Tribolium castaneum: one gene and its partners. The protein of the gene in region 1 interacts with the protein of each later gene in a pairwise test. Links are inferred from orthologs where the notes say so. Each region holds a gene or a part of one and is shown on either strand. Other genes may lie near its edges.

Region 1 (4,306 bases):
CTATGGGCATTATTTTATTTAATTCGGAAGTAAAGTTACCGTTGGGGGCGCCACTGAGCTAGGTCGAAAACAGTAACCATAAATGGCGGGAAAATGTTTATTCGGATATTTTGAGCGTTGTACGAATTTTGAGGCTTCACAATTATTACATTGCCAATGCGGAATGACTATTGTATCTTTGGTGGAAGAAACGAATGTTGACAAATTGGAGATGACGAGGAAAACACGAATAATGAATGACTTTTTGGTTCACTTTCTTTATTGAAAAATTATTACAAAGACATTGAAAAGCCCACCTTTTGGCATAATTTACGTTTAAGTGTATTAGCAGTTGTTAATTTTAGTTGTAGTTTTGTTGATTTATCGAAGTATTTCATGATTTTATCAGTGGAAAAATTCTAACCTAAAATTCACAAACTTCACTAATTTATTGGTTTCTTGAGCCCAACTTTGTGTTCGCAGTGATCCATTACTATAGTCTTTAATTAGACAACTGTTTGATAACACTTTGTAATAAAAATTTAAATCTTTTACACTTTTTATCCACTTTCAAATTCCAACAACAAACACTTTATACCACGAAAAACCGCAGAACCAAAGTCAAAGCTAGTATTTACCACCACGTACTTTTAAAGTGATTCTCTCCAATGTAAGCAATTAACACTATACACGCAAAATTGCTCAACAATTTATTAGATGTCAATTAAATGTGGAATTACGAAAATTTCGTTACTGTTTTCGACATAGTTCAAAAGTCATCACCAGAGGGCGTCTAGTTAATTTTATTTCCGAATAGAAAGAACATGTTTAATGCCAAAATTCTGTTACTTTTGGCAATGTCACTTCGCCACCAGATTTGGAATAAGCTCTAAATACAGAAGTGACTGAAATTGAGTGGAAATGAAAATTTACATTAAAATAAATATAAACAGTGATTAAAAGTTATTCACTCTGTTATCAATGTTATCATTATAAATTATCATTATTATCCGAAATTCCCATTTCTATAAACTAGAAACTTTTACTCAGTTTTTTTAAGTAGTAATGAAGTAATAATAAATTAATATTAAAGAATAGGTTGGGAATGGGTTTTTTGATAAAAACTTTGAATCAGAAAAAATTTGTTTAATTTCCTGAAAGTTAAAGTAGGAATCAGTGAATCACGTTGACGATTTTATAGCCACCACTGATTAATTAATAATTAATGATGAAAAGAAAATCTAACGTCATTTCGCTTTAAGAGCTCTTCATACATGCTACAATTTCCCATTAATTTTAAAAATTTATTTTTGCGTAATAAGATGCTCGCCCACGTGTTTTTCCCCCGAAATCGATACACCTCAAACCACAACTTTGGCCAAAACAATCTCTTCCTCGATTTTGTGTCTTTGTCATACACACGGATTAGATTTGAGACATTTTGAGTGTAGTTTGTCGAAACTAGGCAGCGCACGCATGGTCCATCCACGACCTGAGGCTGCGTCAAGCGAATCCAAACATTTCAGTGGAGAAGTGTAGAGAGGATAGAGTGGTGGTAAAGTGCGCCGGTTTGTTGTGACTACGAAAAGTTTATTATTAATTTTAATTTCACGTTTTAAAGTGAGACAAGAAGGGCAAAGAAAAAATGCCCCCTTAAAAATAACTTCGGTTTATGGACGCTCGTAATAGTGGCATAAATTTTCAAGTGCTTGAAATCATGTCGTTCTTTAATTATAGTGGATTTCACAGCCCGCCTTCGAGGCCTTTAATTATTCCGTCCCCTACAAGTCCTTTTTGGTAAGTTTTGCCAAGTGTTTGGCTACTGCTCGGAAATGCTGAGGGGTTGTTGTAGTTTGTAGTGGGTTTAGTCATCGTCTTTGGGATGCGAAGGGGAGGAAAATTCCAGCGCAGGTCAAAACTGAATCAAGTTTTTGATGAGGGTTGAAAAAATCCAATTTGTACCTAATTTGCTAACAAAATAAATTTAATAATGAATAATTATTTAACTATTTATTCTATAATTATGTTTATACAGTGGAACTCCGTGATAACGGACAAGGTTTTTAACGTTTAAAATATATACAAAAGTGGTCTATGAGTCGGTTGTAACGAACACACGTGCATTTTTGTTACATTCTCGGAAATAATAAACATTTCCGATTTGCAACAACATTCCAAATAATCAGAAATCTCTAATTTTGCCACAAAATTTAAAATAATTGTTGGATTACTATTAAACAAGTCTACAAATGGAAATGCGTCTTTTCTAATAAATTAAATTAAATGAAGTTTTTTAGGATAATTTCTATTTTTATTTTTTATTTGTATTTCAAAATCCGTTTTCAAATAGCCAAAAAATAAAATAAAAATTACATCCGATTTCAAAAATTGAAACTTTTTGAGCTTTTAACACAAATGTTAATTTCTGTGGTACAATTTGCTGGCCCCCATGTCGTTGATAACCCTATCACCACCTGAACCCACGGTCTCTTCTATCTGTTCGCCCACATGCCCTCAACTCTGACCCAGATTGAACATCACGTGGAAAAATCAATTGCACGTGCATTTCCACTACCCCGTTTTCACCACTCGACCCGAAAACAGTGCGCTCAACTTTTCAAGTAGGCGATAGCCGCCGACGAATTAATAAACTAAATGAAAATGCCCTTGTCGATATTAACGACACGAACAGAAAGCGCTTTTCTTGGCCATTTACGGATGTCTTTATCAGAAAAAGTTGACATTTTAATGGGGACGTCGAGCAGATGGCACGTTTTCTCGATGCTGAAAGGAAATATTTTTTGTTGTTGAAGGAAATACGAGGCTTATCTGGAGCGATGAGATAATTTATGTGACTTGACTGCATCTGAATTAAAATACGGCTGGCGATGACGCGTTCTGAATGAAATAATATCAGACTGCAGTTTGTTGTAATCGGTTTTCCTACTTTGGGAAAGTTGCGTAAAGTCGTGGGAACAGTCATAGGAAAATAAAGATAAGAATTTACTTTATATGGCGAAGCGAAAAATGCATAATTTATTTTTAAGACAGTTTTACAATTTTAGTACACCTGCACACACACCTTGTAATTTTCATTGTTTACAGTGTACACCTTCGTTCAAATATGGAACCGATTCTTTAATGGCCAATTAAATCATTAACTTGTAATGTTTATACAGTCCCTAGCTCGCATTAAATCAAGAAGTGTTTATTCAGTGCACCTTTGTCTTTATCTTTTCTGTCGGCACGTGTCATTTACCTTCTTTACTTTTTTTTTCATGTTCATTTTAAGATCGTTATTATTTTAGTCTACGTTTTTTACGTAGCTGGATGGGCCTAAAATTAATTATAGTTGTCTTGTCTGTGCTTAGGAAGTGAGATAAAGGGGGCATAAAAACATGGCTGTGTGTAATGGATACTTCAAAGGATCGAGGGTGAGATATTCTACCGCACAAGATGAAAAACTTACATTTAGATTTTGATAAACTGGGATTTGTCTGGTTTTAAAAACAAACACTGCTGCGCCTTTTTTCAATCAACAACAAATTGCATAATCAGTTCAGTCGACAAAACTCATCCAAAATTGTTGTTGCCTCTCATTTATCTCTATTTGCTACTGAACTGTTTCTCCAACAAAGCGGAAGACAAACATCGAGTATCTCTAAGGAAGTTGTATATTAGGGATGTTTTGACTTCAGTTACAAACACGTGTGGTGTTTTGTTCAAATAAATCAGGAAAATTGTGAGCACATATTTGGAAAATGTGAAATAAATATCTCTCAAGGTTTATTATTTAGACACATATTTGCCTAAATTTTCGCCATGTGTAAACTTGAAATTTCAGTCGATTTGTTTTATTATTCTCCACAGTTTGTAACTCAGTCACATTTTATTATGACTAGCCAGAAGTCATAAACCGTCAGGTTGTTCCCTTGTTGGCGTAATAAGAATAAACCCTATTTATCAATTTTGGTTCGGTCAACAAGGGCTTGAGCACAATACTAAATAAATGTAAATGTTTACATTTGTGGATAACGTAATTCAAACTAGAGGAGAGTGATGTTTGTTTATGTTTGATTACGTTAGCGGGCGTTTTCCTGAATTGGCCAGCTGGTGTCGGTGGAACGCGAAACAAGAGAATGTTTTCAAGAAGGATACTTAATCTTTATCGGGGATTAAGTGTTGACTAGAATTACAAAGTGATTAAAGCTTTCTTTGTAAGAGAGGTTATTAAAATAACTCAGGGAAGGGTTGCTACCGCATGTTTATTTTCCTCAAATGGATTACTAAGAAAGATAAGACTGTTTGTTCGAATTTTGAAACTTTC
Region 2 (4,201 bases), on another chromosome or scaffold:
TCCTTGATTTCGCCGAAATGAACCGAAAAATCACCAATTTAAATCCAAAATTATCTTATTTTTGGCTTTTCCAGGCACGTTATCCAGTCAAAAACGCACTTTTTTCCAGAAAAGTTCATTAAAAACAGGCCGAAAAGTCATGTTATTTTAGCCTTTGAGAAACTAACAATTTTTTTCGAAAAATTTACGTAAAATTGCATGAGTAATTACAGAATTAGTTCGAAATAAATGTTATCTTATCTTCTTTAGGTTGAGACTGATTTATTTTGCAAGAACTTTTGAAAACACAGCTAAAAATCACAAAATAAATTGAAATTGTTGTTAATTTATCCCGATTTAGCTGTTTTTTGAGCAAAATTCCGTCAAAATAAGCCGCAAAACCACATTTCGTCAATAATCAAGCTCTGTTTTAAAATTTTAAGTGTAAAGATGTCAAATATTTTGTTAAAATCGGCTTGGTCTCGTAGAATTTTTTGTAAGGAATTTAACTCTACAATTTTTTTCTAACATTTTTGTTGTATTTTTAACCATTATTTAACCATAATTTTTAGTCGTCAGTTTTTTTCAGTCTTTTGACTAATTTAAAACGATTTGGAGCGATTTTGTACTTGGTTTCGAGTCCGTACTCCCAACACACAACCCTCGACCTACCTGTATCTGCAATTCTAACGCAGCAATGATGTCAATTTTAGCTAGAGTGACTTGTTCTTGCAACCGTCTCTCATAGCTTTGCACCACTTCATCAATCTCAAACTCGCCCGAATTCGCCTAACAGTCATGCAGTTAGTACACAAAAACACAATTAGAACCAACACAAAACTTACAACTTCCTGTTGACTAGTCGTAACAATCCGACCCCTCAACTGCCGATTAAGATCGTCAATTTCCTCGTTCAAACTCTTCAATTTCTTCTCATGCTCAACGTTTAACTCATCGACACGATTATCGTAATCCTCCCTCAAAATCTCCAATTCAGCGTGATACTTATTCTGCAGCTCACTCTTCATGAGACTTAAATCGAACTTGAGCAAATTCCGAAACTCAAATTTGCCAATTTCGGACGTGAGACGCTCAAAATCGGAATCGGACAAATCCTCCAAATTGAAACCATCGAAAATTTTAATCAACTGAACCAAACTCTGGCGCAATTTAACCAAATCCTTCCTTGTGTAGTCAACTCTAGTGTCGCCCCCTGGCCCCACAAAGTCCGAACTGAGCTCGGAACACGAACTCGATTCGGACATTTTGCGGCTCTGCTGACTGAACACCTCCTCCGAGTAACTAAAATTGCAAAATTACGACAAATTTTTTTACAAAATCAAACAAACTTTTTCTCCAAATCGGCGCATTTCTTCTCAAAGTAGGTCCGCAACTCCTCCATTTCCTTCGAATGTTTGGCGTCCAACTCGCTCTTAATCTCGCTCTCACACTGGGCTTTATCCGAACTAAACTTGGTCTAAAAACACACATTAAAAAATTATCACTTTGTGACTTGACCAAACCTTCAGATTGCTAATCTCGTTCTCGAGCGCCCTTTTGCTCATCTCCACGTAACTAGCGAACGCCGCCTTCAACTCGCCGAAAGGCGCCAACTGTGGGGGCCCCAAACTGTGCTCAAACTGCGCGCAAATCTCGTCAAAGTCAAACGATTTTTTGTGGTCCTTGAGCAAGTTTGAGGTTTTTTCCAGCTGTTCTTGCAACTGCGCGATTTCGCTCCTAAAGTGTTGTTTCATTTCTTCGCGATTTAAAATCGCCTGTTGTAACGAACTGGTCAATTTTTCGATTTGTTCGTCTCTATGTACAATAGCGTCGCGGTACTCGACTAACTTATTATGGCATTCCTCTTGGAACTGTTTGTACTCGGTGGTGGTGGTCCCCAGACTCGACGTGTTGCTCAACAATTCGCGAAATGAGTCGAGTTCGGAAGTTAGGGCGGCAATAGTGGTGTTTTTGACTGCGATCAAATCCTCAAAGTCTTTGACTCGTTTGCAAACCTCGTCGTTTAGGTCGAAATTGACGCTTTTGCCGGCGTTGTAACTGTTTAGGAGTTTGTCGTCGAGGTCCACGTTGGCGAAAATGTTCAAGCTTTCGTCGGAATCGGACTTGAACTGGTCGTTACTTAGGATTTCCTCGAGGATGCTTTGAGCGTGTGTCCGCCCCTCCATGTTTGTACTAATGAAGCGCTCTAGCCCGTTTAGACTAACGAAACTACTCGTGTAACTATCACTAAGGGATGGCGGTTTGGGCTCCAGTGAGATCCTCTCATCTGGGGGGAAATTGACGAGCAGCTCTGGCAACGAACGGTCGTTTTCGACGCTTGATAGGTGCTCGGAGATCGTGCTTGTCTCGGACAAAGGCGGGGTTAGGGACAGAGTCAAGCTGCTACTACCGGAGTCTCCAAGGGGGGCACCCTCCTGGCCGAAGTCTATATTTAGCCCACATTGCACGTTCTATTAATAAGACACTTACCCGATTGGTCGAATCGCCCTCCATTATGCCACAAAGGTTTATTTTAACCCATTAAACAATAAATAAAATTGCAACAAACGTCAAGTGTGACATTTTCGAGTTTGTTTGTTGTTGTTATAGGCGACTTGATTGATTGGTTTGGCGACAAATTGGGAAAATGGGACGTTAGAATTTTTATTTAATTTAATTGGGACGAAATGGCACCTAATTGTACAAAATGACACGAAGTACGGCACTCAAAAAGCAAACAATTTGAAAATTTTACGGTTAGGAATTGGGCGATTGAGCCGACATCTGGCACTATGAACATTACAGTCGACCAACTGTACCCACGATTTTTTCTACAGCCAAGGTCACACCAGGAAAATTAATAAAATAATCGTAAATCATTATAAAAACATCAATAAGCTGTAACATCTCCTGACCATTCTAATGTGTTCCTATTACAAATTAAAATTTAACTGCGTTTTATTTCTGCATTTTTTATTCTCATATTCAAGCAATGCAAACTGATTTTTTTCACCCCCTCTATATCCTGCAATTTTCTTTATTTTTGCAGGAGATTAAGCCCTTCGACTGTAAAAAAATCATGTTCGGACAAAAATTCTTTAAAATTTCCCGATTTCGTAAACTTTATCTTTAAAAATTCATTAAGGTCCCAAGGGGTGTTTGTCCGAACATGATTTTTTTACAGTCGAAGGCCCTATCAAAGGGCTTATTCTCCTGGAAAAATAAAGAAAATTGCGGGATAAAAGGGGGTGAAAAAAATCAGTTTGCATTGCTTGAATATGTGAATAAAAAATGCAGAAATTAATTGAATGGTCAGGAGATGTTCTACAAATGTGATATACAAGTCATCGTAACAGCTTATTGATGTTTTTATGATTTACGATTATTTTGCTAATTTTCTTGGTGTGAACTTGGCTGTATGGTGGGTCGACTATAATGTTCATGGTGCTATCTTCACCGGTAGGTCAAGTGACCTGTCATTTTCACGCACCAAATTCAAACCGGACAACTTGCGCAATAACCAAACAAATATTTGAGCTGCAAATATGCGTCTTTTATGAATAAAAATTACTATTGTAATACCTTGATCCGTCTAGACCATTGTAAATCATTGATTTGCTTGTAAAGATAACACGATTTAATAAATGTCCCCATTTAATTTTCGCGTCATTATTTAACCGAAAATGTCCAGTTTTTACTTGTACTATACCGCGTGCGTGGGTAAGTCCCCCAATAGTCACATAATCGAACGTAACCAATTTTTTACCAGCGAATTTGATTGCGTTCACTGTGGGGCTTGCCTACGGGTTGGCGTCCCCCCTCCTCCCGAGACTCAACGGAAGTGTGGACCCCGATAACAACCCACTGGACCCACCCCCAACCCCTTCCGAGGAGTCTCTAATCGCGTCTTTACTATCACTTGGAGCTATTTTCGGCCCACTTTTAACCGGTCTCTTTGTTGATAAAATCGGGCGGAAAAAAACGCTCCTAATCGTGGCTTTGCCCATAATTGCGTCATTCCTGACCATGGCTTTCGCCCATTCGGTGGTACTTTACTACATCGCGCGTTTGGTCATGGGTGTGGGGGCGGGGAGCGTCTTCACAGTCATGCCCATGTACCTGGGGGAGATCTCCGAGGACCGCAACCGCGGCACTTTGGGGTGTCTCATGTCGACGTTTATCGCCTCTGGGGTGCTTTTCGACTACGCCGTGGGGCCGTTTT
Region 3 (4,208 bases), on another chromosome or scaffold:
CTGAGAGCGTCCGCAATTTGGCGGATGTAGCGGGCGCATGTCTCCTCCGGGAAGCGCCTGTTGGGGGCTGCTTGCAGCGCCTTGTAGCATGTGCCTAAACAGGGGGGTTATCAAGGTGGAAAGTGGGGGCACAGTGGTCCAAAGTGGGGAAAACACCCCCGAAATGTTCTTTTAATTTAATTAATTGATTTCTAAAACAACGATGCAAAAAATTCCTAAAAAAACTGTATTGGAACAAAAATACCGCGATGTTTTTCTTCAAAAAAATTGGAAGACAACGTAATTTTTTTAGCGATATTTTGTTCAAACTGGCTAGAAAATCACCCACAGGTATTTATGTTGAAAACTACATTATTCTTGAGTTCTTTTGAATGTTTAAGCATGTTCTATGCGCTCAAACTTACAAAAAACAAAAAAGATGGTAATTTTTTAATCACGTTTCTATGGTAAAAATTTACCTTTTTGTCTAAAATTCTGTATGTTTAAAATCACGTAATTTTTTTATTTTTTTTAACGATTAATTTTTTATTTTTTTGTTGTGAATTCGCTTTAACTGGCGGACAATTAAAAAAATGAACATTATTTAATTTTAATTAGTTTTTTATCAACAAATTTAAAATTCTTCGTTTTTAGGAAAACATGAAGCACGTCTTCGACCAGAAAAAATTAGGTCAAAAAAATGTTCTTTTTCACTTTTTTTTAACTAAAAACTCGAAATTTTAATTTTAATTGAAAAAAAATATTTGTGTTAAAAGGTCCCTTTTTTCGTTAGATTTTGATAAATGCCAAAAAACAGACTATTTAAATTCTAAATAGCGCAGCCACCTTGATTTTTTTCAAACCCAAAATAATAGTAAGAATAATAACAATATATAGCTAACAAAAATAGATTTAGTAATAAAAAAGTGAAAAATGAATCTGCTTTTATACACAATATTACACATTTAAATACAACAAATAAATAATATGTCAAAAAACTCATAAATATAAATTTTTCATTCAACTTTGTAGTCTAAACCATTTTTTTTGTTTTTTTTATAAAATCACAAAAACGTCGAGCTTAGGTGTTTCTGTTGTCATTCCATAGATTTTTTATCAATGAAAATATTGATTCGAATGAATGGAGAAAACTAGTTTTTTAATTCATTTTTTAAAGAAAACTTCAGTGCTATTCAAAATAAAATTTATTTATCAAATATTTTACAAAAACAAACCTTTATTAAAAAAATTGTTAGTACAAAAAAAATTCGAGGACGATTTTTTAAAAATTCTGTTTTCAACTTTGTTGAATTTCATTCGTCAAACTTTTCGCCAAGACGTCTCAAAATGTTCATTAGTTTGAAAAATTAAAACTATTATATAATATTAACACTGAAAAAACTTGAGAATTATCAACCTTAGCATAAAAATAGCAGAAAAAACGCTTTTTGGCATAAAAGCATAGTTTTTTAGCCAAACTGACAAATAAAAGTTAAGAAAATTGGTTCATTTGAAAAAGAAAAGCTTAATTAGCAAAATGCTAGGAATCCGAACTTTAGTAATAACTTTCAATATAATAATTTCTCGTATATATGACATGACTTTTTTTACCGATTTACAAAGTTTTATCAAAATAAATTTCGTAAAAAAAAGTATAAAAATTAAATCTACTTTCATATAATATAATATTACAAAACAATGCGAAATAGTTTTACTGACATAACAAATAAACAGTGAAAATACATTTTCATTTAATTTGGTAACAAAAACCAACATTTTTTTGCCTTCAAATTCAGTGCACCATAAATTAAAAATTTTAGTTTAAAGTCTTCTTAACACTGATAATTCAAAGCTTACTCTCGTCATTCCAGATTTTTCAACATTGAAAATATTTTTTTTTGGGAATGGAAAAAACAAATTTTATTGTTTTAAATTGTTTTTATTTAGTTTATAATAGTCAGCCACTTTTCCGTATCCAATGTATTGACCTCAAGACGTTTTTTTAAAATAGTAGTTAATGGTTTTATTTTAGTTAAGACAGCTTTTAGTAGTAACTTTGTTCCCCATTTAACTTAATGTAATAACTAACCCACAAATTTTATAAATCTTTCTCAACCATTTACTGAAATCATTCAAAAATGCTTAGTTTGCAACTTTCAGAAGGCTCTTCTTTTAGAAGATTTTTCCGAATAACTCTTGTTTTTCATTCATTGTTTATTGAGCCCCAATTTAAATGTGTTTTTTTGTTAATAAAACACATGAAATTTAATGATTTCACCAATTTCTGGCGGGTTTTGAGCAGTTTGGACCACTGTACGTGGGGGCTTACCATTGGGGGCGTATTCCAGTATTATGTAGACCCTCGACTCGTCGTGAAAATAGCCATACATTCGCAGAATATTGTTGTGTCTCAAGTGCGACTGAATCTCGATTTCCCTCCGCACTTGGTGCTCGTTATTGAAGTCTTTGATCGCACTTTTGAACAGCACTTTAAGCGCAACGACAAATTTCGACTGTTTTTCGCGAGCTAAGTACACGTTTCCGAATTTACCACGCCCGAGGGGCTTCCCGATATCGAAGTCCGCCAAGGTCCAACGCCGCCCCTTCGAACTCTCCTGAGCCGTGTCACTTGCAGCCCCCTTCTGGGCCTTGTTCTCGGAGAGAGCCCCCTTTTGCGCCGGGGGGCCCTTTTTCGCCGCGGCGCGCGGAACGTTGTTCTCCTTGTTTTGGCACACGGGGGCCTTCCTTTGGGACATATTTACAACAAAAACACTTCACTCCGACTTAACACTTTTGCACAATTTCAACTTGTGATAAGTTCGAATTTGAATTGTCACTTCGTAAGTCAACGGTTTTTCAACTGCCAACACTCCAACACGAAAAACCCAAAACAAATTTGTGTGAAGACAGCTCCCCAAACCAGCTCCTCGAAATTCCGAAGAAACCCGAACATGAAGCCAGTTTCACACTAGCAAAATACGTTTCAATTTGCGTAGATGTATGTTTGGTTGTCAGCTTTGAAACCGTTTAATAAAATAAAAATCCGAAAAAACACTAAACACCCTCTTAAAAATGACATTTTAAGAAAGTCACTTTGCTAATAGCGAAAAACTCAATTATTTACCACAAATTGCTTCTTAATTTTTCCCACTTTTTCACCTAATTTCAATATTTATAGCTCCGCAAATGCACTATCGCCCCATTTCACCCCGAAATCGGTTTTGTCACACAATGCCCTTTTGACCACCAATTCAACAATAAAAAAGACATTTTTCAAAAATAAAATTATGGCCTTTTAGTTGTCGGAACAATGTTAAAAAATATATCCGAAATTGAATTAAAATCGGAAATAAATCAGGCTGAATTACCGGGCCTGCTAACAGATTATCATTTATACTCAATTTATTAGAGCTTTACATGAACAGTCAGACTACAATCAACTTGGTACTATCACTGTTTTCATTAATTATAATTACACAACTGTGTGATAAGTGAAAAGAATTTTCGGTAGAATCGTTTACTACGAGTTCCAATTTTAAATAATTTTTCATGAACGAAATGTACGTACCCCTCATTTAGTTTATGATCCCTAGCTCTCCTTTTCTCCACCGACAACAAACGGTTTAAAGCTATTTTGCGCATCAGGCGGCGTTTGCTTAAAAGGACCGTAAACCATAAACCATAAACCGCCCATGTGTTTTGTTAAAATGTTTTTCACAAGAATTCTGTGAAGGGTGTCCAGTAAATTATCATTTATTGCATCTTTATTTTCTATTTCCCAAAATCGGACAATATTATTACCAAAACAGGCGAGTTATGATAACAGGCGTGCATAAATTGGGCACTATTGAATCCCCAAATACCGGGCACCCTCTCTTTACGTGTTCGAGTCCTAGAAATTCGGCACCGCATCTTATCAGGTCAAAACGGATTATTACCTGATCACCCCTTTTCGGACATCACAGAAAAAATAGGCGAAAAAGACAACTTTACCAAAAAAATTTATTAAAGGTGTGAACATCTAAAAACAAGTTATTTTGTTTTCTTGTAATACAAATTTACGTAGTTTGTGCCATTCTGATACAATATACCTAGATGGCATTGCCACATCAGCGACCCCACTTGGTGCCTATTTCCAAGTCCCTGTACCACTTATCACTGATTTTTTTCCCTAATCGGGACAACAAAGCACATTTGTTGGATATTATCGCAAATTACGTAATCCTACC

Evidence for each region.
Region 2: the proteins of centrosomin (region 1) and Plp interact in a two-hybrid assay, tested with the Drosophila melanogaster proteins (4 studies listed by BioGRID). The link is inferred for Tribolium castaneum from reciprocal best matches to the Drosophila melanogaster genes cnn and Plp.
Region 3: the proteins of centrosomin (region 1) and aurA interact in a two-hybrid assay, tested with the Drosophila melanogaster proteins (2 studies listed by BioGRID). The link is inferred for Tribolium castaneum from reciprocal best matches to the Drosophila melanogaster genes cnn and aurA.

Annotation. Positions count from the first base shown.
Region 1 is NC_087398.1:12,873,772-12,878,077, forward strand, and holds the start of centrosomin, read left to right. Parts: upstream 1-1,496; 5' UTR 1,497-1,651; coding exon 1,652-1,776; intron 1,777-4,306. UniProt on the Drosophila melanogaster protein: Core component of the centrosome throughout spermatogenesis. May participate in mitotic spindle assembly and the mechanics of morphogenesis through an interaction with microtubules, either directly or indirectly. Is a target of several homeotic genes.
Region 2 is NC_087399.1:2,048,058-2,052,258, reverse strand, and holds the start of Plp (pericentrin), read right to left. Parts: upstream 2,817-4,201; 5' UTR 2,494-2,816; coding exon 2,470-2,493; intron 2,415-2,469; coding exon 1,503-2,414; intron 1,457-1,502; coding exon 1,329-1,456; intron 1,282-1,328; coding exon 825-1,281; intron 769-824; coding exon 652-768; intron 1-651. Other genes in the region: facilitated trehalose transporter Tret1, read left to right, coding at 3,663-3,699, 3,749-4,201.
Region 3 is NC_087394.1:2,112,390-2,116,597, reverse strand, and holds the start of aurA (aurora kinase A), read right to left. Parts: upstream 2,821-4,208; 5' UTR 2,736-2,820; coding exon 2,309-2,735; intron 95-2,308; coding exon 1-94.